Linked DNA regions of Cricetulus griseus. The protein of the gene in region 2 purifies or fractionates together with the protein of the main gene of each other region. This does not show direct contact. Links are inferred from orthologs where the notes say so. Each region holds a gene or a part of one and is shown on either strand. Other genes may lie near its edges.

What was found.
Region 1: the proteins of Cops7b (region 2) and Cul5 purify together in Homo sapiens (affinity purification with mass spectrometry; 3 studies listed by BioGRID and IntAct, with this or other methods). This does not show direct contact. The link is inferred for Cricetulus griseus from reciprocal best matches to the Homo sapiens genes COPS7B and CUL5.
Region 3: the proteins of Cops7b (region 2) and Cul4b purify together in Homo sapiens (affinity purification with mass spectrometry; 6 studies listed by BioGRID and IntAct, counting the BioPlex papers as one, with this or other methods). This does not show direct contact. The link is inferred for Cricetulus griseus from reciprocal best matches to the Homo sapiens genes COPS7B and CUL4B.
Region 4: the proteins of Cops7b (region 2) and Dcaf1 purify together in Homo sapiens (affinity purification with mass spectrometry; 3 studies listed by BioGRID, with this or other methods). This does not show direct contact. The link is inferred for Cricetulus griseus from reciprocal best matches to the Homo sapiens genes COPS7B and DCAF1.

What each region holds. Positions count from the first base shown.
Region 1 is NC_048597.1:165,390,038-165,397,555, forward strand, and holds the start of Cul5 (cullin-5), read right to left. Parts: upstream 5,215-7,518; 5' UTR 4,739-5,214; coding exon 4,715-4,738; intron 1-4,714. UniProt on the Homo sapiens protein: Core component of multiple cullin-5-RING E3 ubiquitin-protein ligase complexes (ECS complexes, also named CRL5 complexes), which mediate the ubiquitination and subsequent proteasomal degradation of target proteins.
Region 2 is NC_048595.1:438,274,689-438,281,776, reverse strand, and holds part of Cops7b (COP9 signalosome complex subunit 7b), read right to left. Parts: coding exon 6,842-7,088; intron 3,896-6,841; coding exon 3,790-3,895; intron 1-3,789. UniProt on the Homo sapiens protein: Component of the COP9 signalosome complex (CSN), a complex involved in various cellular and developmental processes.
Region 3 is NC_048604.1:28,553,742-28,560,829, reverse strand, and holds part of Cul4b (cullin-4B), read right to left. Parts: intron 6,279-7,088; coding exon 6,173-6,278; intron 4,859-6,172; coding exon 4,686-4,858; intron 3,431-4,685; coding exon 3,278-3,430; intron 1-3,277.
Region 4 is NC_048597.1:215,037,632-215,045,149, reverse strand, and holds the start of Dcaf1 (DDB1- and CUL4-associated factor 1), read right to left. Parts: upstream 5,269-7,518; 5' UTR 5,130-5,268; intron 1-5,129. UniProt on the Homo sapiens protein: Acts both as a substrate recognition component of E3 ubiquitin-protein ligase complexes and as an atypical serine/threonine-protein kinase, playing key roles in various processes such as cell cycle, telomerase regulation and histone modification.

The DNA.
Region 1 (7,518 bases), on a different chromosome or scaffold from region 2:
ATGATGAACTCCCTCCCACAGAGCATGGGCATTATTATATATGCCTCTGTATTCTTCAGGGTCCCTTGCATATTGCTGTCTAATAAACAACATTAATAATGAATACATTCTAGACACTTAAAATTGCTCATTTATATTTTCATTTTCCTTCTTTCCAAATGATAAAAAGTTTGCACTGAGAAAAAACTATGCTTCTTGTTTAATTTCTTTTTCAGTTTCTTATTAAGAGTCAACTGCAATGCCATGTGGTAGTGGTACACTCCTTTAATCCCAGTACTTGGGAGGCAGAGGCAGGCCTATCTATGTGAGTCTGAGGCCAGCTCCAAAGTACAGAGAGAAACCCTGTCTAGAAAAAAAAAAAAGTCAACTGGGAAGGTCTCAAAGAAATCAACACTAAGATAAAAAGAATGAAATAGAACCTGGTGGTGGTGGCGCATTCCTTTAATCCCAGCACTCAGGAGGCAGAGGTAGAGAGGCCAGCCTGGTCTACAGAGTTCAAGCACAGCTGAGACTACACAGAGAAATGAGAGAGAGAGAGAGAGAGAGAGAGAGAGACAGAGAGGGAGGGAGGGAGGGAGGAGAGAAGGAGGGAGGAGAGAGGGAGAGAGAGAGAAACAGAGAGAAACAGAGAGAGAAAACACACAGAAACAGAGAGAGAGAGAGAGAGAGAGAGAGAGAGAGAGAGAGAGAGAGAGAGAGACGGAGACGGAGACGGAGACAGAGAGAGACAGAAAGAGAGGAGTTGGGACTGTACCAGAACAAAGAAAGGGTTGAAGATTGAATCCTGAGAAATAATTTATATGTCAGTGAAAAACAGGGTAAACAGTAAAATACAGAGGGAGGGGGGAAAAAGTCACAAAACAAGAAAAACAGCAGACAATGTGAGCAATAATACAAGAATGGATGAAGCTTATCAAAAAGAACCTGGTTTGACAATCAGGATATTATCGATGCTCTTACACTTGATAGCTTCAAGATAGCCAGGTGGGTAAATTAAGGGAAAAGAAGAGCTACACAGAAGCACACAGCCAAAAGCCTGAGAACAGAAGCAGGACACTGGCTAAGTTTACACAAAAGACACAAACTTTCTTATATTTAGAGAAGTGAGAAAAGGGAAAAGAAAAAAGGGATAGCAGAGAGGGAGACATGCCACCAAGTCTTGGGAGACAGTGAAGGCTAAAAAAGAACAGGTGGAAGGTGACTTGAAAAAGTACAATACAGAGAAACTAGAAAAAAATGTGTGGTATTGGCCAAGAGAAATACAGGCCTAAATTGCTAGATAATATGCTAAAAACTGAGAGGTGTGAAAAATGTTTGAACAGTTGCTGTATGGAATAGGATAATCAACTGGAAATGAAGAAAATGAGCACTCTGAGCCCAGATGACAACTGCAAAAGAAAAAAGAACAGGCAGAATTAAGTGTCAGAAGTAATCTAAAATAGATGAAAGGGCACTATCAGATTGCTAGAAATGTTCTACAGACAGACTGTGTAAGGAAAAAAAACAGATAAAGTACCCAAGTGAGAGGGGTCAGATTTAATTCCCCTAGCCCAGTGATAACTCTATATCAAAATATATTATACATCTTTCTATATTCAAAAGATTTCCAAGATCCAATGGCGGCTCATTTGATCTAACCAGAAAATAAAACCTCAAAATAAAATTGCAATATAAAAGCATGCCTTTTTTTTTGGAAGTGACTTCTTTTTTTTAAAATTTATTTGTTATGTATAATGTTCTGCCAGCATGTATACACACACCTGGTGATCTAACTCAAGCCATGGTTGATTTCTGCCCAACATGCTGTGCGACCCCTGAGATTTACAGTGTTAGTAAATTTCTATGAAAGAAATTTTAAATCAGAACTAAATCCTAGCAAACCCAATGACATGCATGCAAGAAGAGGGCACCAGATCTTACATTATAGATGGTTGTGAGCCACCATGTGGTCGCTGGGAATTGTACTCAGGACCTCTGGAAGAGCAGCCTTTGCTCTTAACTTCTGAGCCATCTCTCCAGGCCCTGGTTTGAATTTTTTCAAGACAGAGTTTCTCTGTAGCTTTGAAGCCTGTCCTGGAACTCACTCTGTAGACCAGGCTGGCCTCAACAGAACTTAGAGATCCACCTGCCTCTGCCTCCCCACGTGCTAGAATTAAAGGTGTGTACCATCCACCACCGATGGGATGATTACTACTTTTCAATATGTATTCAGAATTCAACCTTCCAACAAAAGGAGAAAAAGTTCCAAAAAAACCTCAAAGAGGTGAATATGTGGCAACTGAGGTGCAGATAACAGAATCAAATGTCTGTTTGTTATGTCCATCATACTGTAAATTCCATCTTAAACTATAAGCCAGACCTGGTGGTGTACATCTTTCTAATCTATCTATACAGGAAATACCAAGACCAACCAGAACTATAAAGAAATAAAAAATAAATCACATACTAAATAATATTCATTTCCAAAATTTGCTTTTTCCCATGGTTATTATTTCACAAGACAAGGTCATCAAAAACTCTGCAGTGTGTTTGACATCTGACTTCAGACTCTTATCTTTTATTTATTTTTTCTTTTTTGTTTTAAAGACAGGATCTGACAATAGCCCTGGCTGGCCTGGAATTCAGACATCAAGCCTGCCTCTACTTTAAGAATGTTGTTGGGATTAAGCTGAGCAGTGGTGGCTTTAATCCCAGCACTCGGGAGGCAGACAGCCAAGGCCAGCCTGGTCTACAGAGTGAATTCCAGGACAGGCTCCAAAGCTACAGAGAAACCCTGTCCCGAAAAAACAAAAACAAAAAACAAACAAACAAATGAAATGTTAAAAAGAATTTTGCTACAGTATTATGAAAAACAAAGCAGAGTAGAGTCAGTAATATCATTTCTGTGAATTAGTCTATATATAATGTAGTCTGAGCTGGTTCCAAATTCACTACTACTAGTTTAGGCTAGAATTCATGATCCTCCTGCCTCAGTGACCTTCATATTGGTAATGACCTGCAACCCCAGGCCCAGTTTTACCTGTTTTTCTTTCTTCTTTTTTTTTTTCTTTTTTCTTTTTAGTTTATTTCTTCTTGTTAGCTGTTTTTCAAGACAGGGTAACAACTTGTCTGTATTAACAGCCCTGGTTGTCCTGGAACTTGTTTTTGTAGACCAGGCTGGCCTCCACCTGCTCTGCCTCTCAAGTGCTGTGATTAAAAGTGTGTGTTGCCACTGCCCAATGGTTTTCCTATAGGAATAGGCACAGAAGTTCTAGTGCTTTAGTGAATTGCATATTAAGTGCAATCACTGTTTTTAAAGCATCATAAGTAAATCATTTGATCACAACAGGGCTATGAAAAATGGTACTGATAATTTCATCTTCCTGAAGGAAGAAGCTTGGGCAGAGGTTAAGGAACTCAATACCATGAAGCTCTTAAGAGACAGAAATTCAGATGGGTGTGGTGGCACATGGCTTTTATTCCATCACTGGGGAAGAGGGTGGCAGACAAGCAGATCACTGAGTTCAAAGCCACACTGCTCTACAGAGCTAGTTCAAGGACAGCCAAGGCTACCTGAGAAATCCTGTCTTAAAAAACAAAACAAAACAAACAAAGAAAAAAACAAGAGACAAATTCAGGGAATCTAGGTCCTTTTAAAGGACTCTCCAGGGTGGTGATGCAAGTCTTCAATCTCAGCACAGACAGAGGCAGTTCTGTGAGTTTGAGGCCTGCTGAGTTATACAGCAAATTCTGGCAAGATGGGGCTAAAGAGACCCTGCTTTTTTTTGGGGGGGGGGAGGGCACATTCTCTATTTCATTATTATTATTCATCCACAGAGCCTGAATACAGTGTTTATTTTCCCTCAGGTAATCACTACCCCCATTTCAGTCAATACTTTTAGGACAGGACTCTTAACTAAAAACACAAATAGCTCAAACCTGCCCCATATCTTCCTCAGTCCTTACCTAAGTTTTTAACAGAATTTGCCCCCCATCCCCCAACCCCGGGCCTTTCTTGACACTTAAAAACTTCCCAATGTCTTCTTTGATAAGAAAAACTTTCCCACCAGCTAAAAAGACGGTGGCACTTCATCGGGTGTCACCTGATGTCCTCTAAGGGGAGTCGAGGCTTGGGAGAGACAGTTCCTCGAGGAACAAAAAGCATGGGAACATGAAGTCAAGAACAAGAGAACTGGAGGGAAGATGTAACATGCAGAAAAGGGAGAAACGGGGCGGAGTGGGAGGCACTGCTATCTGACTCGCATTTCCTGGAGGCAGAGTGAGAACAGAAATTAAGGAACCGGGGAGGAAGCGGGGGGGGGGGGGTCCTAGTCAAAACCTGCTAGGCAGCATTTTGTCGAGAATTTTCCTATTATGTCTTTGACTCTCGCTTCGGAAGAAACGGACCCTAAGAGTCACAATGGCTGGGCCGCCCGCCGGGGGCCCAGCGACACTGCTGTCGCCCGCAGCCTGGGTTGGTCCCTTGAAAGCATCCCTCCCAGTCAGTCAGTCAGTCAGTCAGTCAGTCAGTCAGTCAGCGGGAGCAACCACCGAAGCCTCTGGACCCCGAGGCCAGGGCCCGGCGTCGGGGTATTCGGGGCAGCCGTCCCGGGTCCCTTCCGGTGGACAAGCCTGAGACACTCTCACATCTCGCCGCTCACTCGGAGCCCGGTGCTCACCCAGGAACTAAACGCGTCGGCCGCGAGCAGAAACCCGGCTGGAGACAGGGGCTTACCTTTAACAGATTAGATGTCGCCATGTTCCTTCAACTTGGACTCTCGCGAGAGGCGGCGGCGAGAATTGGCGGCGCTCGGGGCCAGGCCTCCTCGGGAGGCCGGAGTTCCCAGCAGGGCCCCGCGGGCCGCGGCAGAGATGCGGGGGGCGGAAGGGGGAAGGGGGGCCACACACGCCGAAGCTGCGTGCCGTCAGCGCTGAGCTCGTACCCGGCACCCGTGCTCCCTCAGGCTTTCCCGCTACATGGTAACCGGGGCCTGCTCACGCGAGAGAGCGCATGCAAAGGCTCAAGGAGACGCGAGCGGCGAATGGTGGCAAGGGACCGGGAGCCGACCTGACCGGGAAAAGGTAGCATCTACCTCCCCGGGCCTGCCACACTCGTCTCCGGGTGAGCCTCTCGGGTTGCACTCGCGGCGGCCGCCGGCAACGACTTTTAACTCGGCTTAGGCCCGGCTCCTTGGGTTCCGTGGTGGCGTCACGTGACGCTGCGGGCGGGGGCGTGCTTGGGAGCAACCGAGGAGCCTGCAAGCCGCTGGGTCCGGAGGCAGGGAGCAGGGCGGAGCGCGCCCCCTATTGGCTGGAGCCGGCGCCGCCCCACCCGCTCGCCGCCCCAGATCCGGGGACTGCGATTCATTCGCAGCTCTGGATGAGATTAGCCAGGAAAGGGTTTTTTTTTTTTTTTTTTTTTTTACTGCTGTCCTCTGTAAAGACTGACTCGGGGAAAAGGCGCCCAGTCAAGATTTACTCGTTTAGTAAATGGATGTACGAACGTGTTAACTAGCATCACTCTGCTCAAAAATGCCCGGCTTGTTCAAGAAGTGTTTATTAATCTCGGACTCCTTCAAACATATCCTAGGGGCTGGAGAGAGATGGCTCAGAGGTTAAGAGCACTGACTGCTCTTCCGGAGGTCCTGAGATCAATTCCCAGCAACCGCATGGTGGCTCACAACCATCTACAATTCAATCTGGTGCCCTCTCCTGGCTTGTAGATAGAACAGTATATATGTAATAAATCTTAAAAACAAACAAAAAACTCTTTTAAAAAAATCCTAGACCTAGAGCATCCTATACTATTTTCTCCAAACTGTGTCTCTTCAAATCACGAATCTCTAAACAAGAGAATAGAGTTTATATAGGGATCTCACAGGTTGGCTGTTATTGCATTATGCAAATTCCTAACATTTGGTTAGGGGGTTGGGGATGTTTTGTTTGTTTAGGGTGAGTTTATTTATTTTTGGTTTTTAGAACTAGGTTTTCTCAGTGTAGCTTTGGAGCCTGTCCTGGCACTCCTCTGTAGACTTTGCTGGCCTTTAACTCACAGAGCTCTCCTTGCCTCTGCCTCCCGAGAGCTGGGACCAAAGGCGAGCATCACTACCACCACACTAACAGCATTCTTTTGTACCTTTATAAAGGTGTTCATGAAGACATCTATCGCTCCCTGGCTACATTGCCTTAAGATAGACAGGTCACTTGAACCTTGAACTAGGCTAGTGGCCAGCAAGCTCCATGGACCCTTGAATTTTATTTATTTATTTCATTTATTTATTTTTGGTTTTTTGAGACAGAGTTTCACTGTGTAACAGCTCTGACTGTCCTGGAACTTTCCTTGTAGACCAGGCTGGCCTCAAACTCACAGAGATCAAACTGACTCTGCCGCCCTGCAAAATTTATATATTATATATTATATATTTTTAAATTACATATTTGCCAGGCCTGGTGGGTAAGACCTGTAAGCTTACAGGAGGCTAAGGCAGGAGGATTGCAGGTTCGATGCCCTTCTGCTACAAAGATGAATTCTAAATCATCTGGGAGTGGGGCGAGTCAGGGGGAAAGAGAGAGTGTGTGTGTGTGTGTGTGTGAGTGTGTGTGTCTAAGAGCTTGCCTAGCATTTGTGGGGCAATAAGTCATTTATAAAATGTACCATCTGGAATACTTTAAAATGAAAGTTCTCACTGATGGTGGCACACACTTTGAATTCCAGCCTTGAATACCAGCACTCACGAGGCAGAGGTAAGCGTATCTCTGGGAGTTCAAGGCCAGCCTTTGTCTACAAAGAGAGTTCCAGGACACTCAGAGTTACACAAAAAAAGAAACCTTTGTTATAAGTGTGTTTTTGGCTGGGTGGTAGTGGCTCACACTTTTAATCCCAGCACTCTAGTGAGTTCCAGCTAACCAGAGCTACACAATGAGACCCTGTCTCAAGAAAATGGGCTTAAGATGGGATAAGATCTCCACTTCTTAGATATTGAGTGATTTACTTAACCACAGTCTTAGTTTCCTCATTTGTGAAATTAGTATAAAAGCATCTACATCATAGAGCTCTTGCAAAGATTAAATATAAAGGCTGGAGAGATAGCCCACTGATTAAGAGTGCTGACTGCTCTTCCAGAGGACCTGGATTTGATTTCCAGAAGCTGCAGGGGACTCACAAGTGGGCTCCTGTCTGACCTCTACAGGCACCAGGCATGCACATGATACACAAACATACATGCAGGCAAGCTGTGCAGTGGTGGCACACACATTTAATCCCAGCACTCGGAGGCAGAGACAGGCGGACCTCTGTGAGTTCGAGGCTAACCGGTCTACTGAGCAAATTCGGCAAAAACCCCTAACACAAAATCTAGAAATTTTAAACATTAAATTGATAGATTAATATATTGAATGCTAGAATTTATTACTTCTTGCAGAGACCTTAGGTATTAATTAAACTTCACATGCGAGAAGAGCTGTGAAGGAAAAACAAAAAAGCAGATAATGCAGAAATAGAAGGGAGATCAGGCAGGCCAGCAGTGGTGTCCTCAAGGC
Region 2 (7,088 bases):
GATGAAATGGAAATGAGTTCAGCAAAAATGTGGAGCTAGGAGCTGGAAAGATGGCCCCAGAGGCTAGAAGAGGGCATCAGTTCCCCTGGAGCTGGAGTTACAAGGGGTTGTGAGTCATCCATGGTACTGTGAACTGAACGTGAGTCCTCTGAAGAACAGCAAGCATGTTTACCTGCTGAGCCATCTCCTTAGTCCACATGTTTCTAGTTTAAGAATTAGTGTTTGGGGGGGCTGGAGAGATGGCTCAGAGGTTAAGAGCACTGACTGCTCTTCCAGAGGTCCTGAGTTCAATTCCCAGCAACCACATGGTGGCTCACAACCATCTGTTATGAGATCTGGTACCCTCTTCTAGTGTGCAGATATACATGGAAGCAGAATGTTGTATACATAATAAATAAAATTCTAAAAAAAAAAGAATTAGTGTTTGGTACTGGTATAAATAGCCTTCTATTTACCTCTGCACACTGTGGGAACATCACAGAGTGAGCTTTCCAGGTCAAATGGATGCAAGTTGCATACTGAATCAGGATCACTATGGAGGTTGAGTATCTGAAATGACTCAAACCTGGGGTGTTTCAGATTTCAGTGCTTTTCAGGATTTGGGAATACATTTTACTGATGTTCAAAAGTTTCTTCAGCTTGAGGCTGGAGAGATGGCACAGCAGTTAAGAATACTTGCTACTCCTGCAAAGGACCCTAGTTCAGTTCCCAACATCCACATCTGGCAACTCATAACCTCCCATAGTTGCAGGGGATCTGACAACCTCTTCTGGCCTCCTCAGATACCCAAATGCATGTGGCATACACTCATATGGACACACAATAGACACATAAATAAAAGTGAAATCTTTTTTAAATGTCTTTAGCCAGACATGGTGGCACATACCTTTAATCCTAACAATGGGGAGATGAGAGTAGGCAGCTCTGTGTGAGTTCAAGGCCAGCCTGATCTATATAGTGAGTTGTAGGCTAGCCAGGACTACATGGTGAGACCATGTCTAAAAGACAGTCTTTTAATAAAAATCACAACTCTGCTTTTTTAAAAAATCCACCTACCTGGCTAAGGCGATAACATGGTTGAGCAAAGTGCTTACCTTGCAAGCACAAGGACCTGAATTTGGTTCCAGAACCCATACACAAAGTACCAAGCATAGTAGAAGACATTTACATCCCAGTGCTCAGGTGGCAGAGACAGATCCCCTGGCCCTCATTGACCAGTCAGCCTGGCCTACTTGGAGATTTCCAGGCCAATGAGAGACTCAGTTTAAAAAAAAAAAAAGTAGGAGAGTACCCAGGAAAGCCACCTGAGGTGGTTCTCTGTGCACCTGTACCCACAAATATACACAGAAAGGAAGAAAAATAGGTGACAGACAGAAACATAGACAATGATAACTAGTGCTTTGGCCAGGCAGTACCGAACTGAGTGTGGATACCCATGTCCAGGACTCAAGAATGGCTACTAGGCAGGTCTACCAGCTAAACCCATTTTAGCATCAAAGATTTTAAGGTACCCAGTCATCTACATCACCATCTATCCAACCCATTTGATAACAAGTACTCCCACAAGTGTGTCTTCTTTGACCTAAATCTTTCAGGTTTCCTTCCTCAAGGGACTGGCTTAGAGGCTGCCTCTGTCCCACCCCACCCCCACCCCCGAGAAACCTAGAGTTCATAGAGCTTCTCAAAGCACAGGCATCAGGAATTTCTCAGTGGGGCACACCTGTTAACAAAATGTAGCCTGGTACCATCAGAGATCAGAGACCCTAAAGATGAGCAAGAGACAAAAGAGCTCCCCAGGGGAGGAAACTGCCTTTGGGAGAGGGAATGGGAGAGCTTAGGGCAGGTGTGGGAGACAGACAGGTGTGGTGACAGCTAACTATAGTCCCAGTACTCCAGAGGCTGAAGAAGGACAATAGAAAGCTTGAAGCCAGCCTGGGATGAATTTTAAAAAGCAAGCAAAAATCAAAAAGAGCAAACAGAAATCAAGCCCACGGGAAATGCTATGAAGATGGTGAGAATTGCTCTCTATAAGGCACCTAGGAGGCATGGATTTAGCACACTGTAACAACTTAACTCCTGAGGGATTTTCTACACAATAAAAAATAGCACTTACTCTTGTTCTATTACCTATGTGAGGGGAACATAGCCTATTTTGTGAATGTGTAGCAATAGCTATATATTAACATTCCACACAACACCATACACAGGCACATTCAAATATAAAGAAAAATAGATTCCCAAAGCAAATGCAATGAAGAGGGACCTTGTGGTGCTGCAGCCATCCTTCCTTCCCTCCAGAATGCCTCCTCAGAGACATCGCAAAGCCTTAGAACGATACTATTGTATTCTGTCTCCCCCAGGTATGCTGAACTATATTTAAATAATGTTACTTATATAAAAGGCTAAACGAGAGAATTCTCAGGCAGTTTGTCATAAGGTGACTGAACTCGGAGGGAGGCTCTAGAAGGCAAAACTCACCAGAAAGCAGTCGCTCTAAGATTTGGAAGGAAAACATCAAGTTTCTCCTCTCTGAGAACAGCAATGTAATTTAAGGACAAATGGAAAAAATATATCTCACCTACTCAGTTGAAAAAATGCTTATAAATCTGAGTCAAGCATAAGAGAAACAACACCACAGAAGGCTATGACAGAATCTCCTTTGCTCTTTGTAGATATGTGTTCAGGCGAGGATGCCGTAAACTGAGGCATGGCTCAGCCAGGGGATGATGAGAACCATCAAAAAGGCTCTGCACTCTGCCCTCTTCACCTACATCAGTCTGCTCTAAGTTTCCTAGTAAGCTAGTACTTGTGGAGCCAGGATTTATCCCCAGTGCATGAAGTGGCTTTTTGGAGCCCATTCCCTTTGGAGGGATACCTTGCTCAGCCTAGATACAGAGGGAAGAGCCTTGGTCCTGCCTCAACTCAATGTGGCTTTATTGACCCCCCCCCCCCAATGGGAGGCCTCACCCTCTCTGAGGAGGGAAAGGTGGGCGAAGTAGGAGGGGAGGGAGGGGGAACTGGGATGGGTTTGTAAAATAAAATTTAAAAAAAATGTTTTAAAAAATAAAATTTAAAAAAAAAAAAAAAACCTAGTACTTAAGGCCAGGTGGTGGTGGCACACGTCTTTAATCCCAGTACTTGGGAAGCAGAGGTAGGCAGACCTCTGTGAGTTCGAGGCCAACCTGGTCTACAAAGCAAGTTCCAGGACAGCCAGGACCACACAGAAAAACCCTGTTTCAAAAAACAAACAAACAAAAACTAGTAATTAACGGGTTATTTTAACTGGTATGAAGAGGTGACTTTGCCCTTTCCTCATTTCTTTCACATTTCAATGGTTTTTAATATTTTATTTTATGTGCATATGAGTGTGCCTGAGTGTACATCTGTGTACATGTGAGAGCCATGGAGGCCAGAAGAAGGCATTGGATCCCCTGAAACTGGAGTTACAGGTGATGAGCTGCCATGTGGGTGCTAAGAGCCAAACCTAGGTCCTGTAAGAGCAATGAATCCACTGAACTGCTGAGCCATCTCTCCAGCTCCTGTCTATCCACTTTTAAAACACATCTCCAACATTTCTCTTCCTCAGTAACTGCAAAGTGTGTGTACACTGGAGAATTACACATTCTATCGTCTCTATTAATTCCTACATTCCAGTATCAAACCCAAGACATGTTTAGGGGCTATTTGTTGCATTCAAATGAAAGCACATGACAAAAACAAAAACACTTCAAACTAGTTAGTATCTAGGAGCACCCTAAAGAGGAGAACGAATGTAACATTTCTCTTTACCTCTGCCTCCACCTGCTGCTGAGTCCGGTGGTGGTTCTCTTTGTACTGGTTGGCTCTCAGAACTTGCTGTTCAATGCCCAACAGAACTGCCTCACAGCCATCACACCTGCAACGGAGACACCCAGCCATAAATAGCAGTGAAGCCAAATGGTTACAGCAGTCCCTTCTCTCCTTCCAAACAAGTTCATAGATACAGTGGCTTGTGGGGAGTTTCTTAGAATACAGCCCCAGTTTCCCATCTTTGCAGCCCATTAGAAACAGTTGTACAGACAAGATTTGGTGTGTTCTGGGTGGTATGGCCATACACATCAGGCACTAAGGAAATGTCTGGAGAGCTCTCCAGACATTTTGTAGCTCTCCAAAGATGACACCAACTAACAATCTAAGCAACAGAGGAGAGGCTACCTTAAATGCCCTCTCCTGATAATGAGACTGATGACTAATTTATATGCCATCCTAGAGCCTTCATCCACCAGCTAGTGGAAGTAGAAGCAGACACCCACAGCTAAACCTTGAACTGAACTGAAATCCAGTTGCAGAGAAGGAGGATGATGAGCAAAGGGGTCCATACCAGGCTGGTGAAACCCACAGAAACAGCTGACCTGAACAAGGGAGAGCTCTTGGTTCCCAGACTGATAGCTGGGAAACCAGCATAGGACTGATCCAGACCCCCTGAATGTGGATGTCAGTGAGGAGAACTCAGAAATCTATGGGGCCCCTTGTAGTGGATCAGTACTCATCCCTAGCATAGGAATGGACTTTGGGAGCCTATCCCACATGGAGGGATACTCCCTGAGCCTAGACACAAGGGGGTAGCCCTAGGCCCTATCCCAAAGGATGTGACAGACTCTGAAGACCCCCTATGGAAGGCCTCACCCTCCCTAGGGAACAGAAAGGGTATGGGATAGGTAGGGTGTTAGTTGGGGAGTCAAAGAGGAGGGGACGAGAAGGACTTGGGATTGCCATGTAAAATAATCTTCTTTCTAATTAAAATTTAAAAATTAAAAAAAAAAAGAAAAAAAAAGAAACAATTGTACAGACTAAGATGGAAGGAGGGACAAACTACAGGTAACACTGACTGATCCCTTTCTACGACAGAAAAATTACATTTCCTAAAAGCATACTATTTTAGAGACTGCCTTTTTCTTGAGAATTTGAAGCTAATTCCTAGTTACCAACAACTTACTTTTATTTTCCCACTTTTTATTTAAAAATTTTAAAAATAGACTGGGCTTGGTGACACAGCCTTTAATTCCAGCACTCAGGAAACAAAGGCAGACAGATTTCTGAAGTCAAGGTTAGACTGGTCAACACCAGCCAGGTCTATAAACTGAGATCCTTTCTCAGAAACAAAAGTTTTGGCCGGCATTGGTGGCACACGCCTTTAATCCCAGCACCCGGCAGGCAGAGGCAGGCGGATCTCTGTGAGTTTGAGGCCAGCCTGGTCTCCAGAGCGAGTGCCAGGATAGGCTCCAAAGCTACACAGAGAAACCCTGTCTCGGGAAAAAAAAAAAAAAATGTTTTGGAAAAGTTATATAATGAATATTCACATACCGACCATTACTATTCAATGTGGTCAACATTTGGCCGTATTTGTACTTATCTCTCAGGACAATAATTCTGTTTCTAAATCACCTCTAACACCTGAAAAGGAATTCTGTGAGTCTCTTTTAGTGGATGAAGTGATTGCTCAATGGTTAGGACACTTGTTGCTCGTATAGAGGATCTCAGTTCAGTTCCCAGCAGTCACATACAAGCTCACAAGCACCCATAATTCCAGTTCCAGGAATCGGATGCCCACTTCTGACCTCCACGGGCACCAGAAAAACACACAGTGCACTTGTACACATGATAGGAAGACACTTATAAAATAAAAATAAATACATTTTTTTTAGTCCTGAGACAAGGTTTCTCTGTATAACCTTGGCTATTATAGAACTCACTCTGTAGATGAAGCTGACTTCCAACTCCCAGAGTTCTGCCTGCCTCTACCTTCTGAGGGACTAAACACATGTACCACTAACAAATAAATCTTAAAAAAAATCTGGGTGTGGCAGCACTTGGGAGGCAGAGTTAGAGTTTAGGGCAAACCTTAAACTGGTAAGCCATGTATCCCTCAAACCTGGGATACATAGTTCCAAGGCAACCCCCCAAAAAGCAAGTTTCCCTATCTTCCAGCACAAAGTTGTCCACTCTGCCTAATGACTACAGCATGCAACGAGCCTATATGGGACAGTCTCACCACTCCCAATAATTCTCTCTCACTCAAAACCTCCTCATGGTTCCCTATGAAGCTCTGGCTTCATAAGCTCCAAATCATTTAAATCCAAGAGCAAATCCTTATAGAACATATAATCACTTTTGCAAATATCAAATTCCACTAAAATAAGACTACATCTCAGAGTCCCAGTTCTCTTCCTAAATTCATTTACTTTTTTTGGGCAGGGGGTCAGCTGGAAACTAGATTCTCCAACTGGCCTCCAACTCATAATCCTTCTGTCTCAGCACCCTGAGCGCTGGGATTATAGGCATGTCCCACCATACCCCGTTGCCCAATTCTTTATATACTCAGACAATTGTCAAATATTCTATGCATCTGTGTTCCAAATCACAAAAGCCCGTTCACTGATATATCCCTCACGATGTTCCACCAGTACTAACTAGCTTAACAAGTTACTGAAAAACATTAACTTTCTGAGCTTGGCCAAACTGAGTTAATGTTTGGAAGGTACAGACCTACTGCCACACAGTTAGGATGCAGAGTCTACCTGCATCTCCACATAAACAGTTTATAGCCCACTGTTAAACAGACCTGCTGTATTTAAAGTCAGTTTTACAACCCAGGCACAAGGAAGGCTGGGGTGATTCCTTTTGCCATACAGCTGTAATTACAAATGCGTCCCTACCCTCTGTCTCTGTGTCCTGAGGTCCCAGTTTTCCTGGCTGCCTGCAAGGCCTATCACAAACCCTTGGCTGACTTCTGAACGTCACAATTTTGTAAAGAGAGGCACAAAGGGCATACTAGAAGCTCCCCTCCATCTTGCAGCCTCACCATTCATGCAAGGTCTTGACAATATTATTGATATCTTTCTTTCGGATGTCACGGCCAATGCAGAAATCCACTTCCAGCAGCTGGTTTCGCTGGTCCAGCTTGCCCTGGATGATGTCAGTGTAGACAGCCTCGATGATAAGGTCTTCTAGTTCCCGGAGATTCCTCATCTCCAGGTCCTTCAGCAGCACAGAGTAGGGGATACACTGTGGATAGGTCATATGACAGTTACAAAAACCACTTGGCAAGC
Region 3 (7,088 bases), on a different chromosome or scaffold from region 2:
AGTAAGAGCTGCTTGGGTACACAGTAAGACACCGTGTCAGCAGACAAGTAACAAAAAACCGGAAATTAACTAACTAAACAATTAACAAATGTATTTTAAAATGCATGAGAATTTATTATATAAACTATATAAAATACTAGACCTAGTAGCATAGGCCTATAATCCCAGCTACTTGGGTGTATGAGGAATGAAGACTGTTACTTCAAGAAGGTTGGCAAAAACAAGTGGGGGTGGATGAGGTTTTTTCTTGGTAGTATAGCACTAACCTAGCATATGTAAGGGGGGTCAGTGGTGGTGAACACCTTTATTCCCAGCACTAAAGGCAGAGGCAGGTGGATCTCTGGGAGTTTGAAGTCAATCTGGTCTACAGCAAGACTTGAAGAAAGTGTGCATATGTAAGGGTCCTACGTTATAGCCCCCAGTACCACATATCCACACAATACTATGAAATTTGATAAAATATCACATTAACTCACACCTGTATGTTTCTGGTTTACTATGAATATGAACTATGTACATAAGTGATTTGGATTTCTGATTCTTGCAGTTAGTTTAAAATTTGTGACAATTTAGAGCTGGACATGGTGGAGCATGCCTATATTCCTAGACTCAGCTACAAAGGGAATTCAAGGTTAACCTGTGATGTATTGGATCCTGTCACAAACAACAACAAAATTCTAAGGCTGGAGAGATGGCACAGAACATGTTAGTGTGTACTGCTCTTGAAGAGGATCCGAGTTCAGCTCTAGCGCCCATGTCAGGTGGTTCAGGACCACCTGTAACTCCAGCTCCAGGTGGAGCTGACACCTCTGTACACAAGTAAACACCCATACAAAGACACATAATTAAAAATAAGCTCTCTAAAGAAATTTATATCATTGCATTGATAATTATACTCATCTCTTGAATTAAAAAAAGCTACTATAATTTGTATATGGCCCATAAAAGTAATGAGAGCATTCTTTGATATGAACAGGTAACTGGTTCTAGAACCCTGACACACCCAAATCTGTCAAGGTTCAGTATCTGCATTTAACTTACTGCACTCTTCCAGTACAACTTAAAAAACATCTCGGCCAGGTATATTGACACATGCTTACAATCCCAGCACTGGAGAAGTTGAGGTAAGAGGATCATGACTTTTGAGGCCAGCCTGAGCTACACAGTCAGACCCTGATATAAATAAATATCTTCACATCACTTATAATACCCAAGATTCAATATAAATGTTATAGAATTTTCTTATACTACTATTTAAAGTCCAAATACTGAAAAGGAAACAAACCAATATTCAATATATATGCAATTTTTCATTAAGATGAGAATCTCATTGCATTACTGAGGTTGATCTCAAACTCCTGGGCTCAAGTAATATTGCTGTCTCATCTGGTAGTTATGAGTACATGCTACTGCATACAGCTAATGCATCTGTTTGGCTTTTGGTTTTGTTTTCTGAGACAGGGTCTCTCTTTGTAGTCCTTGCTATTCTAGAACTCACTATTTAGACCAGACTGACCTTCAAACTCAGAGACCCGCCTGTCTTTGCCTCCCCAGTGCTGGGATTAAAGCATTCACCACTATGCCGAGCCAGCTAATTAATTTTTTTTTTGTTTCTTTTGGTTTTGGTTTTTCAAGACAGGGTCTGTGTAACAGTCCTGGCTGCCCTGGAACCAGCTGGCTTCAAACTCAGAGATCCACCTGCCTCTGCCTCCCAAGTGCTGAGATTAATAGTGTGCATCACCAATGCCTGGCTAGCTAATTCATTTGGAAAGGATGTTTTTAACCTTTGGTTTGTTGAAGTCACAGACATGGAATCAACGGATATGAAGAACTGATTTCAAAGTAAGCCTTGGAACACGTTAAGACCCTGACTAAAAAAACAAAATAAAGCAAAGGAGAGTCAGGCATTGATGGTGCTCGCCTTTAGTCCCAGCACTCGGCAGACAGAAGTAGGCAAACCTCTGGGAGTTCGAGGTCAACCTGGTCTACAGAGTGAGTTCCAGGACAGACTGCAAAGCTACATAGAGAAACCCTATCTCAAAACAAAACAAAACAAAAAAGCAAAGGAGAAAAATAGATAGAGAAGTAAAACTCCATTTAACAACCCTGAGATTTAAATATCAAATGGCTTTGGTTTAATTATGATCAATGTTATAGTGAGTGATCTCTTCCATTCTAACATCAGTAAGCACTCTTGCTGGAGATGAAATGACTAGGTGAGCATGTGAGCAAGTGTGGTAATGAGAAGGCATGAGGTTTAGAGAAGCAGACTACCTTATTAAAAGTAATATTAAAAGTAATAGCTACTACATACCTACATACATACCAAACTTAGTACTACGTGTTTTGTGCTTTCCATCTCACTTAAGCCTCAAAATAATAGTGCGAGGGAGCTGGAGAGATGGCTCAGGGATTAAAAGCACTGGCCGCTCTTCCAGACAACCTAAATTCAATCCCCAGCACCCACATGGTGGCTCAGAACCTTCTGTAATGAGATCTGGGGCCCTCTTCTGGTGTAGAGGTGTGCATGCAGATAGAGCACTCATGAATGAATGAATGAATCTTTAAAAAATGGTGGAGCTAAGTATAATTATCAATTCTAAACAAGCTCAGCAAGATTAAATGCCTTATCAAAATCCAAAGCGCTAGGAATCCTAACAGCCAGGAGTCTATACAACTTCTACCAAATGTTTATTACAAAAGTTTAGAAATCTTTTAAAATTTTGAATAGTCCAGTACACCACCTCACTGTCTATAAATACCTATATTGCTGGACATTTGTATTGGAACATGTCAATACACTGACCAATTTCAGTTTACTAGAAATATTATTAGACATTTTCAAAGGCACTAAAACTACTTTACCACTAAAATACAGCCAGCAGCCTCTGTAACAGATTTGAGAAACATTTATAAGGTAACTAAACAAGATATAACTCAATCTAATAACCAAATATGTCAAATGCCAAGTTATCTCCAGAAAAGAAGATTCTAAAGATACATAGTGAATTAACTTCAAAATTTTCAAAGTCATATTTACTCATTAAACTTTCAAGTACAGGGAGGGGCTTTTGTAAATTGTTTCCCAATTTGTCACAGTTGTATACATATACCAACAACACTCTTTTGTGAACTGTATGTATGACTATAGGAAATAAATTCATGTCCTTCTAAATGGCTTTAAGCCTTTTATCTATATTTGCAAGATTATTGTCTAAAAATCAAATGTATTTTTTCATTTATAACAAGTTCAGTATGGAGACACAGAAACACCTACTTTTACTGGAAATTTCAGCTGATTGTAGACCTCTGAGACAAGAAGATTGTGGCTAAGTGTTTTCCTCATCTTCATAATTCGGACAATCGCAGCATCAATTTGGTATTGTCTATCTTGAAATACTCTTTCTGTAGTGCTTGCTTGTTCTTCAACCTAAAAAGAGTTTTCAAATGAAGTCAAACTTAATTATTAACACAAACTGTACATTAGGGACATAACAGTGTTACCTAAATGGGACCTGATAAATACAGACACAAGAGAAAAAAAACTTGACACATATAGGGCCTTTCTGTTCTAATCACACTGTTCTGTACCAATCAATACAAATAAATCAGTATCTATACAGGTTAAGAAAAAAGATACCACCTTTGAGGACTGGGGAGATAGACTCAGTTGACCAAGTGCCTGCCCTGCAAGCATGAGGACCTGATTTTTAAATTTAGATTTTCGTGAACTCATGTAAAAACTGATTCCTGGAACTCAATACCTAGCCAGCCTAGCCTAGTTAGTGAGTTCCAGGCAAGTAAAAGACCATGACAAGAAACAAGGTGGATAGCTCCTAAGGAATGACACTGGAGGTTGTCCTCTGGCCTTGCCTAAAATTCAAAATGTTCATACCCATTGATCCAAAAATTTACTTTCATGAATTCATCTTAAGGAAAAGATCACAGATTAAGATTCAGATACAGAACTTTTTTAAAAGTTTCAATGGCCATGTACAAGATTATGTAGCTATTTAGCATTCTGTTGATAGTTTACAAACGTGTGGGGGTATGTGCATTATATCAGTGCGGTTAGGGATGTCAGAGAACAACCTTGGGCATCAAGGGTCAGGAGCCTTTGACAAAACAAAACAACCAAACAACTATGTTGACTGTCAACCCTATTATGTTTACTCCTCAACAAAAAGAAACATAGAATCAAACATTGAAATGTACTAGGCTAGATGTGGGCACAGGAAATGTTAACAGTAACAAGCTGTAAATTTCAGGGCTAGAAAGATGGTTCTGCAGTTAAAAGGACCTGGGTTACATTCCAGCACCATTCACACCCATCTATAATTCCAGGTCCAGTTGATCCACTGCCCTCTTCTGGCATATGGGTCTCAGGCCTGATGTGGTGCAGACACACATGAGGCGTAACATTCAAGCACATATAATTTTTTTTTTTTTGGGTTTTCCAGACAGGGTTTCTCTGTAGCTTTGGAGGTTGTCCTAGAACTTGCTCAATAGACCAGGCAGGCTGGCCGTGAACTCACACAGATCCACCTGCCTCTGCCTCCCCGAGTTCTGGGATTAAAGTGAGCCACCACCACCTGGCTGCACATAATATTAATTTGTAGTCTGTAAATTTCTACTAGAAACACATATAAACCTAATATAGTCCAACGAGAGAGCAAAAGGCTTACCGTTTCTTTCATTTGGATTTGATTGATCTTTATCCTGAATAGTTTGTGTTTGAAATCATCATTACAAATGAATTTGTCACCATCTTCGATATCTTTGCCCTTTGGATTTTTAGTGAGAACTCTAGCTTTGCCACAGGCTAGTGATTGCAGGGTTCTCCTTAATTCTCCATCCTCTGAAGAAGAAATAATGCTTAGCAGCATGCACAACACTACATTCAACATCAATTTAATTTATAAACATTCTCTATTAAATTCTTTTTTCCCCATATCACCAACACCTGCTCTTTGTGCTATCCAGTAACATATTTTTCTAGTTGTCTTCTAAAAACATTTGTTACCCCATGCAGACAACTACTAAAATTTCTGATGTAACAGTCCCCTTCTCTAAAGTCAATCACTAAAAGGGCATACCATTTGACTGTTTTATTATCACTCCAGTATGTTCTATTCTCCATTAACCCTCTGCTTCATTGCTACTGACACTACTACTAACCTAATTCAATGAAAACCCCTAGACTCATCTTTTAAGTCCTCCTTCTCCTTCATTCCATATGGCTCTAGTAATTCCATTGCTGTTGGAATCGTTCTACTAGAAGCCCTTTAGAACTTCATATCACAATTATCTTTACAGTTTCTAGGCTAGAATCTTTTCCTGTTTCGGGTGGCTGGCCCTACTAATGCCAGGTAAGTTGTGCAAATAGGTTATTTCCTTTAAGTCACTATAGCTCAGGTTTCAGCTGTATTCATCAGTCTATTTATACATCTTACCTATTGAATTTTATAACTCACCATTCTAAGCTACAAACTTTTCATGCTTCCAACTTACACTACCCAAGCCTTTCTTCATACTAGTTCCTTTATTTCAGATGCCTTCTCTCCAACCAAAATTTAAAGGCCTAACTCAAGTCCCACTTCCTTCCACAATAATCTCTAGCTTCTCTTAACATACTTCTTGTTAGCACTACATACTGGTACTTACTGGTTTTGACATTATTAAGAATACAGAGAAGCCAGGCAGTGGTGGCACACCTTTAATCCCAGCGCTTGGGAATTCACTCTGTGAATTCAAGGCCAGCCTGGTCTACAAAATGAGTGCCAGGACAGCCGGGCTGTTAGAGAAATCCTACCTTGAAAAACAAAACAAACAAAAGAAATACAGGAGGGGGCTGGAGAGACATCTCACCACTGAGGAGTACTTTCTGGTCTTTCAGAAGACCAGATAGATGTCAGTTCCCAGCATCTACATGGTGGCTCACAACCCCCTAACTCAAGCTCTAGGGGATACAATGTCCCCTTCTGGCCTTAACAGGTTCCTGCATGTGTGTTATACATATACTTATATAGGCTTACAATAATGCACATAATTAAATGAATCATCTTTGAAAAATAAAAAGAGTACCGAGGACAGGATTACTTCCTTGTATCTCCCAGAGCTCTAAACACAGTAACTACACAATTGCTTGCTACTTGGGGGATGCAATACAAACCTATCCCAGTAGCTTGCTTGATGTCTTCTAAACTGAATTCCTCCCCTTCATTAAACATTAGCAGCACCAGGGTTTGAAAAAGAGAGACCTGAAGTTCTTTTTTGCCCTATTACAGAAAAAACAAACATCAGCCCATATTTTTAAAACAAATGAATTAATCAAAAACATTTCTTATAGGAAAAGCATTTTTAATTAGTGAGTTAATCATAGATTAAGATTATTCAAAAGCCTTTTTCAGGTGGCAATAAATTGTGCAGTTTGAGGTTTAGGAATGATTCCACAGAAAATGAGGTGGAGGATTAGTTAGCCTATTAATAGGTTTTTTAATAATCTTTATTAAAACAGAACAAAGTAATGAAAATAACTCAGTCATGGGTATCATTATAAATAATCAGCATAAGTAGCAAGAAATTACTATTCTGAATGCATTTTTTTTAGACAGGGTTTCATGCAGCCCATGTTAGACTTAATGCTTTATAGCCAAGAATGTCCTTGAACTCCACAAGGATTACAACCCTGTGCTACTAGGCCCCAGTTTCAAATGTATTTTGACTTTGTTAAGATCAGTAATGATCCCAGCACTCCAGAGGCAGAGGCAGGTGGATCTGTAAGTTCAAGGCCAACCTGGTCTACAAAGCCAGTTCCTGGACAGGATCCAAAGCTACACAGAGAAACCCTGTCTCAAAAAACAAAACAAAAAACAAAAAACAAACAAACAAAAAAGAGTCAGGCAGTGGTGGCGCACACCTTTAGTCCCAGCACTCGGGAGGCAGAGGCAGGTGGATCTCTGTGAGTTTGAGACCAGGCTGGTCTACAAGAGCTAGTTCCAGGACAGCCTCCAAAGCTACACAGAGAAACCCTGTCTCGAAAAGCAAAACAAAAACAAAAAAAACAAACAAAAAAGAAAAATCAATAA
Region 4 (7,518 bases), on a different chromosome or scaffold from region 2:
AAGCCTTTTAGTTCCAGCACACGAGAGGCAAACGCAGGTGGATCTCTAAGTATGAGGTCAGCCTAGTCTACACAAAATAAGCTCCAAGATAGCCAGGGCTTTGATAACCACCCCTCAACACTCCCCACCCCACCTCCCACACACCCCCCACACCCCCACTCCCCGCCCCAGCAAAAAAAAAAAAAAAAAAAACCTGTAAAGAATGCCCTTTAAGCAATCAGCCTTCTAGAATACATACACTGTTACAGCTTTCTGCTGCTTTCACTTACTTTTGGTTGGCAATTTTTGTTTTGTCCTTTGACAATGACAGGGATTGAACACAGGGCCTTGCTCAGGTTAAGTAAGAACTCCACTACTGAGCTACATCACTAACTCTTGGTTTATTCATTTTGTTGTTTGGTACTAGAATTCTAGAGTCTCAAATATATTAAGAAATCACTCTAACACTGAGCTATACCCCCAATATTTGTTTAGGGCTTTTTGTTTTTTAGTTTTGTTTTTTGGGTAGCTGATATTTTGGTTTGGGTTGTTTTCTTTTTTGTTTTTTGGGGAGGGGAGCATTTTGGTTTTTTTGAGACAGGGTTTTTCTGTGTAGCGCTGGCTTTCCTGGAACTCACTCTGTAGACCAGGCTGGCCTCGAACTCAGAGATCCACCTGCCTCTGCCTCCAGCACTGGGATTAAAGGCTTTCACCCCCAATACCTGACTTGTTTGTTTGTTTGTTTGTTTGTTTTTTGAGTGGTCTATTTGCCCAAATTGTCCTTAAACTCGCTGTCACCCAGGTAGACCTTGAGCCTTGGGTATTCTTAGTTCATCTTTGATTCCTGGGCCTTCAGGCCTACCACACTAGGCCCACTGTGGTAGTTTGAATGTAATTGGCCCACAAATACATAGGGAGTGGTACTATTAGGAGAAAGTGGCCTTGTTGGAGGAAGTGCTTCACTGTAGAGGTCTGCTATGCAGAAGCTATATCCAGTGTGGATACAGACTCCTTCTGCTGCGTTCGGATCAAGAGGTAGGATTCTCAGCTCCTTCTCTAGCACCAAGTCTGCCAGCACACCATGTCCCACCATGATGAAAATGTACTAAACCTTTGAAATTGTAAGCCACCCCGATTAAATGTTTTCCCTTGTAAGAGTTGTAGCAGTTGCCAGGCAGTGGTGGCGCACACATTTAGTCCCAGCACTCAGGAGGCAGAGGCAGGCAGATCTCTGAGAGTTCAAGACCAGCCTGGTCTACAAGAGCTAGTTCCAGGACAGCCTCCAAAGCCAGAGAAACCTTGTTTCGAAAAACCAAGAGTTGTAGCAGTCATGGTGTCTCTTCACGGCAATAGAAACCCTAAGACACTCATGTAACCCAAGGTTTGCTGGGTTGTTTGTTTGTTTGTTTTGAGACAGTGTCACTATGTAACTTGGGCTTGAACTCAAATTCATGATTGTTCAGCTTCAAGTTACATGAGTATTTAGATTACAAGCGTGCACCACCATACCTACTACATTAACATACTATTTTCAAGGTTCTTCCACATATTAGCACAATTTAAAGAAAAAAAAAAGTTTTTAGCACTCGGGAGGCAGAGGCAGGTGGATCTCTGTGAGTACGAGACCAGCCTGGTCTATAAGAGCTAGTTCCAGGACAGCCTCCAAAGCCACAGAGAAACCCTGTCTAGAAAAACCAAAAAAAAAAAAAAAAAAAAAAAAAAAAAAAAAAAAAAAAAAAAAAAAAAAAGTTTTTAAAAGCACAAGAAAATAGCTGGGGCCAGATGGTAGTGGTGCACACCTCTAATCCCAGCACTTGGGAAGCAGAGTCCTCTAAGCCACACTCTCTGTGATTGTCCATCTTCTCTCCACTCGAACACAGAGATGGAGACTGGCCTAGGGGCTTGGAAAATCCAGGCAAGGCTGGAACAGCTCATTTCCTGCATGAGGAAAATGCAGTCAAGCCCAGACCTCCTTTCTACCCCATTCCCCAACTGTCATTAAAGGCACATGCCTTTAATCCCAGCACTTAGAAGGCAGAGGCAAACAGATCTCTGTGAGTTTGAGGCTAGCCTGGTCTACAAGAGCTAGCGCTAGGACAGGCTCTAAAGCTACATAGAGAAACCCTGTCTTAAAAAAAGAAAACAGGGAGTGGACATGACACATGCCTTTAATCCCAGCACTTGGGAGTTCAAGACCAGCCTGGTCTATACAGCAAGTTCCAGGACAACAAAGAAACACCCTGTATGTGTGTGTGGAGGGGGTATAGAATGAAGGGGAATTCAAGGACATTATAACAGTAAAATTTTAGAATTCAACTTAGAAACACACACAAGGTTGCAGATCCAGGACAGTGGTAGAGCATTTGCATGTTATTATAAAACCCTAGGTCTGAATTCTACCTTATATTAAATAAAAGCCAGTCTGGTGATAGTGCATGTCTTTAATACCAGCATAGGCAGGCAAATCTGAGTTTGAGGCCAGTCTGGTATAGAGTGAGTTACAGGACAGCCAGGACTACACAGAGAGAAACAATGTCTTGAAAAAACAGCCAGGAGGTGGTGGTGCATGCCTTTAATCCCAGCACTCCATAGGCAGATCAAGTTTGATCTCTGATTTCGAGGCCAGCCTGGTCCATAGAGCACTTCCAAGACAACCAGGGCTATACAGAGAAACCCTGTCCTGATCAACTTTTTTTTTAATGTGCATTGGTGTTCTTGTCTGCGTAAGGGTATCGGGTACCCTGGAACCGGAGTTACAGACAGTTGTGCGCTGCCATGTGGTTGTTAAGAAAGAACCCAGGTCCTCTGGAAGAAAAGCCAATGCTCTGAACCACTGAGCCATCTCTCCAGCCCCAAAACCCTGTCTTGAAAAACAAACAAAAAGATAATGTGCCAAAGAATTTAGAAGTGATGTGCCTACAACCTGAAGTAATTCCACAAAATAAACACAGAGACAGAATATACAACAAAGCGGTTAACTGGTGAAACTAAAGATAATCACTTCATTTAGCTTTTCTACCGAAAGGGATTTTTGGTAAGATCCTGACTCAAAAATCAAGCTGGGCCGGGTGGTGGTGGCGCATGCCTTTAATCCCAGTACTTGGGAGGCAGAGGCAGAGGCAGAGGCAGGCGGATCTCTGTGAGTTTGAGTCCAGCCTGGTCTACAAGAGCTAGTTCCAGGACAGCCTCCAAAGTCACAGAGAAACCCTGCCTTGAAATCCCCCCCAAAAAGAAAAATAGGTTCTATTCTACACTATACTTAATAGAAGATTCAGCAAAACTGTCCCCAAATATAAGATAAAGTCTGTTAAAATAGATCCTGTGCCACGAAGAAAAAGAGGGAAGACAGCACTCCTTCAGGAAAGTTGCAACCCTTACTTAAAAGAAGTAAAAGGTGTAGGTAAATGATAAGGCCTGTCCCTGAGACTCTAAATTCAATTCCTAGCACAAAGAAAGAAGGAAGGGAGGGAGGGAGGGAGGGAGACAGGCAGGTCAACTTGAGCTTGTGGTGCACACGTGTATCACAGAACTTATAAAGCTGAATGAGGCACATTCACAAGTCTGAGACCAGCCTGGGTTACAGAGACTCTATTTCAAAAGCCATAAGGGAGGAAGAGAGCCCTGGGTCAATCCCCAACACCACAGGAGAAAGGGGAGAAATTCCGAATTTACAGCTTCAAGCAAAACCTTAACACTATGACACATAATCACATAACTATTACTGTCCTGTGTACTTTATGAAAACAACAGTAGTTATAAACCAACTCCAATCACTTCAATTTAACATGGAGCTCGTTTTATTACATTTTATTAAATTTAATAACTGAACAAGACAATGTAAATAAAATGTTATGCTCAAGAAATGTGTAAAATTTCCTCATATTACCTTAACACCCAAAAATATACCCCTACTCGAAAACTGTTAATGAAAAACTGCTATATACAAACACAAATCTTGACATCTGGAAGAAATATACTGTATCAACTCCTAAAGTCAAAACAGGTTTATAAAAGCCTTAAAGGTAAATGCCAGGAAACACGGGCGGAGGGGGTGGGGGGAAGCCTTCAAGTGATGCTACCAATGAACCTCTCCAACTACAGCATTAACAAAGGGCTTGCAACAGGATGATAGTGCTACAATAAATTAATAATTAAAACACGCAGAATAGTTAAAAGGCTTCACAGGAAAGAGATACAAGAAACTGGCAGACGGGGGCGTTAATAGTGCACTGGGGGGGGGAGGCAGAGGCAGGCAAATCTCCGAGTTTGAGGCCACCCTGGTCTACAGAGCCAGTTCCAGGAAGAAGAGAAAGAGAGCCAGGAGTGGGGGAGACAGACAGAGGGGGGCAACAGGAGGCAGACAAAAACGAGTGGTAGTCATTTATTCAAAACTCTAAGAGTTAATTCCTCAACAAATGGAAAAAACAAAGAGCTATCACTGCAGTAAGAGCAAACAGACCGACACCTTCTAGAAACAGGACAGAGCATGGCAAACGGCCCGCCCACCAGAAAACAACTAAGAGCCCTGGGTACGAGCTCCCAAGAAGCCTGGCAGGCAACCTTAGGTCGGCACCCACACACCTCTCTGCCCCTCGGCTCACCACTGCATGGTAGGAGTAGGAGGGGCTCCCGGAAAGCTCCTCCCCCTAGCCCTGTCCAAGAGCAGGGCGGGTGCAAGTGGGAGGTGGCACGAAGCCGGAGGAGGGGAAAGCCCGCCCAGGTGACTGAAGCCGGAGGCGGGGACACAGTCCGGGAAGGGGTCCACCGTGCGGCAGGGGAGAGGGAGCCCCTCGGCTCGTCAGAGACTCGGAGCGGACCAGAGAAAATGAAAGAGCACCTCCTTCAGGTAGAGGCGGGCACATCCCTGCCCCCCACTCCGGGCGGAAGAGTTACTCTAAGGAAGCTTCTTTGGAAGACTGGAGGAAGAGCCTGAGGCCCCGCCCCCGGGCCAGGGATCAGGAGGAGGAAAGTCCTGTCAGGCCCCAGGCCCAGCCTCCCGGGTGGTCCCGCCCGCCCCCTCGCCGCCGCCGGCAGCCGAAGCAGGTGCCGCCCCTCCCCCAGCGAGGCGCCCACTCTCCCGCCCAGCCGGCCGCGCGCTCGCTCTCCTCGCGCTCCCCACAGAGAGTCGGCTCCTTCCTGTCCCCGCTTACCTTCGCGGGCGGCTCCGCCGCTTCTCCCCGCACCCCTCCAGCGGCCACAGTTCACACACACCGCCTCTGGTCCCGCACTCACTCTCCCTCACTCACACACACAGCGCGACCACGGCTCCTGAGCGGCCCACATATTATGCGTCACTCGCATGTTACGTGCAGTGCGCGCGCGCGCGCGCTTGGCGCGAGGCTCGCGAGCTGGGAGGCGGGGGGAGAACGTCGGCGCGAGCGGAGGAACATCATAGGGCTCCTGGGAAATGAAGTTCCGCTTTTAAGGGCGGGAAGGGCGGGGGGATAGAAAGACCAGAAAGCACCTCCCCAGCGCATTGGCTTCTGGGATCCGTAGTTTTCTGTATTATACGTAAATTGCTGTGTATTTATTGGCTGTTTCCAAAAGCGGAAGCGAAAAGTGAAGGAAGGAATCGATCTTTCTAAAGCCCGGCAGACTACCGCTGCCTGATAACTTTGCCAATACGTAATTCTACCCTGTGTAATCGGTAAGGCTCAGTAGTACTGGTATTGACACATAAGCCTTATAATATGCCAAAAATGAATCTCGCACAAATGTATCAAAAGTTGCAGTACTCATTAATAAGAAACTCACTGGTTTTCCTTTGTCTTTCTGTTCAAAACATACTCGGCAAGAATCAAAACAGCATTCGTTGCTACGTATTTTATGTGAGGAAGAAAAATTAAAAAAAAAAAAAAGTCTTCAGCCAAGACTTGACTAACCACAGAGGTCATCTAATTCAATTTCTTAATTTTAAAGTTGAGGAAAGTGAAACCCAGAGTAAATGACTCGCCTAATATCACCAACCAAAGTGAAGAAGCATCAGGGGATCTGACTTTGACCCACAGATCCTATGTGAGGGCATGAAAGATAAACTCCACAATTGAGCAGAATCTTGACAAGACCTACCCAGACGTCAGGCCTGATGCAACTCATTATTGCTCTTGGAATTCTGAGTGTGTTCTGTGCGTTTCCATAGAGTTCTCGCAGTCAATACTTTCACATGGAGATTGTAAGACACTGTGGACCTATTGTTGTGAACAGATTCTATGGCTGTTAAGCCAGTATCAGCCAGGCAGTAGTGGCATTTGTGAGTTCAGGGCCAGCCTGGGCTACAGAGCAAGTTCCAGGACAGCCAGAGCCAGGGCTACACAGAGAAACCCTGTCTTGGGGGGAGGGAGGGAGGGAGGGAGGAAAGAGAAGAAGCCAGTATCCCAGATTTCAAACTCAAGTCCACCACCACCCTATCCCACCCACCTGAGTTCTCCCCCTTACTTGTGTAGCTTAGAGTAACAAGCAGCTAAAAGTAAAAATTCTAGAGGGTGATGGCAGTGCCACAGGCATGTAGCATGTCTTCAGTCACTCCTCTTGCCACAGAACAGCTTTCCCCTGTGCTTCTGAAATCTCTGGTCTCTTGCTGTGATGACCATTATCATTCAATTTGTCTTTACAGCAGGCCTGGCTTGCATCAAGACCAGGGCAGGTAATGCCAGCCAACTTTATGGAGGAGAAATCTGAAGGAGTAAGGTTGAATCAAGATACTGAGTTTTGTTGGACATGATGTCACATGCCTTTAATCCCAGTACTCATGAGGTTAAGGCAAATGAATCCCTGAGTTAGATATCATCCTGACCTGCACATCGAGTTCTAGGATAGCCAGAGCTACATAATAGAGAGACCCTGTCTTGAATGACAAGACAAGTGAACAAAAGATACAGATTTGGGGGCTGGAGAATGGCTCCACAATTAAGAGCACTTCTCTTCCAGAGGACCAGGATTTGATTCCCAGTATCCACATGGCAGCTCACAGATCCAGGGGATCAGATGCCCTCTTTTGGCCTCTGGATATCATGCGTGCTTGTGGTGCACCAACACACAGACAAAACACTTATACACATAAATCTTTAAATTTCTTTTTTTTTCTTTGTATTTTTTTTTCAAGACAGGGTCTCACTATGTAGCTGTAGCTGAACTGGACCTCCCTATGTAGACCAGCTCTGACTTCAAAATCAGAGATCCACTTGCTTCTGCCTTCTAAGTGCTGGGATTAAAGGCTTGTGCCACTGTGCCTAGCTAAATTCTTATTTAAAAAAAAAAAAGACAGTCTGGGAGTGGTGGCACACGCCTTTAATCCCAGCACTCGGGAGGTAGAAGCAGGCAGACCTTTGTGCCAGCTGATCTACGACGTGAGTTCCAGGACAGCCAGAGCTGCTAACACCGAGAAACCCTGTCTCAAAAAACAAACAAACAAAGACATGGAGTTCACAATACCTACAATACTACTTGAGGCAGCTTTCCTGCCCTACCTCCCTGGGCTTTGAACCCAAAATGTACAGGGATGGATCCCCTAGGTATCCTCCCCTAATACCTTGGATACCT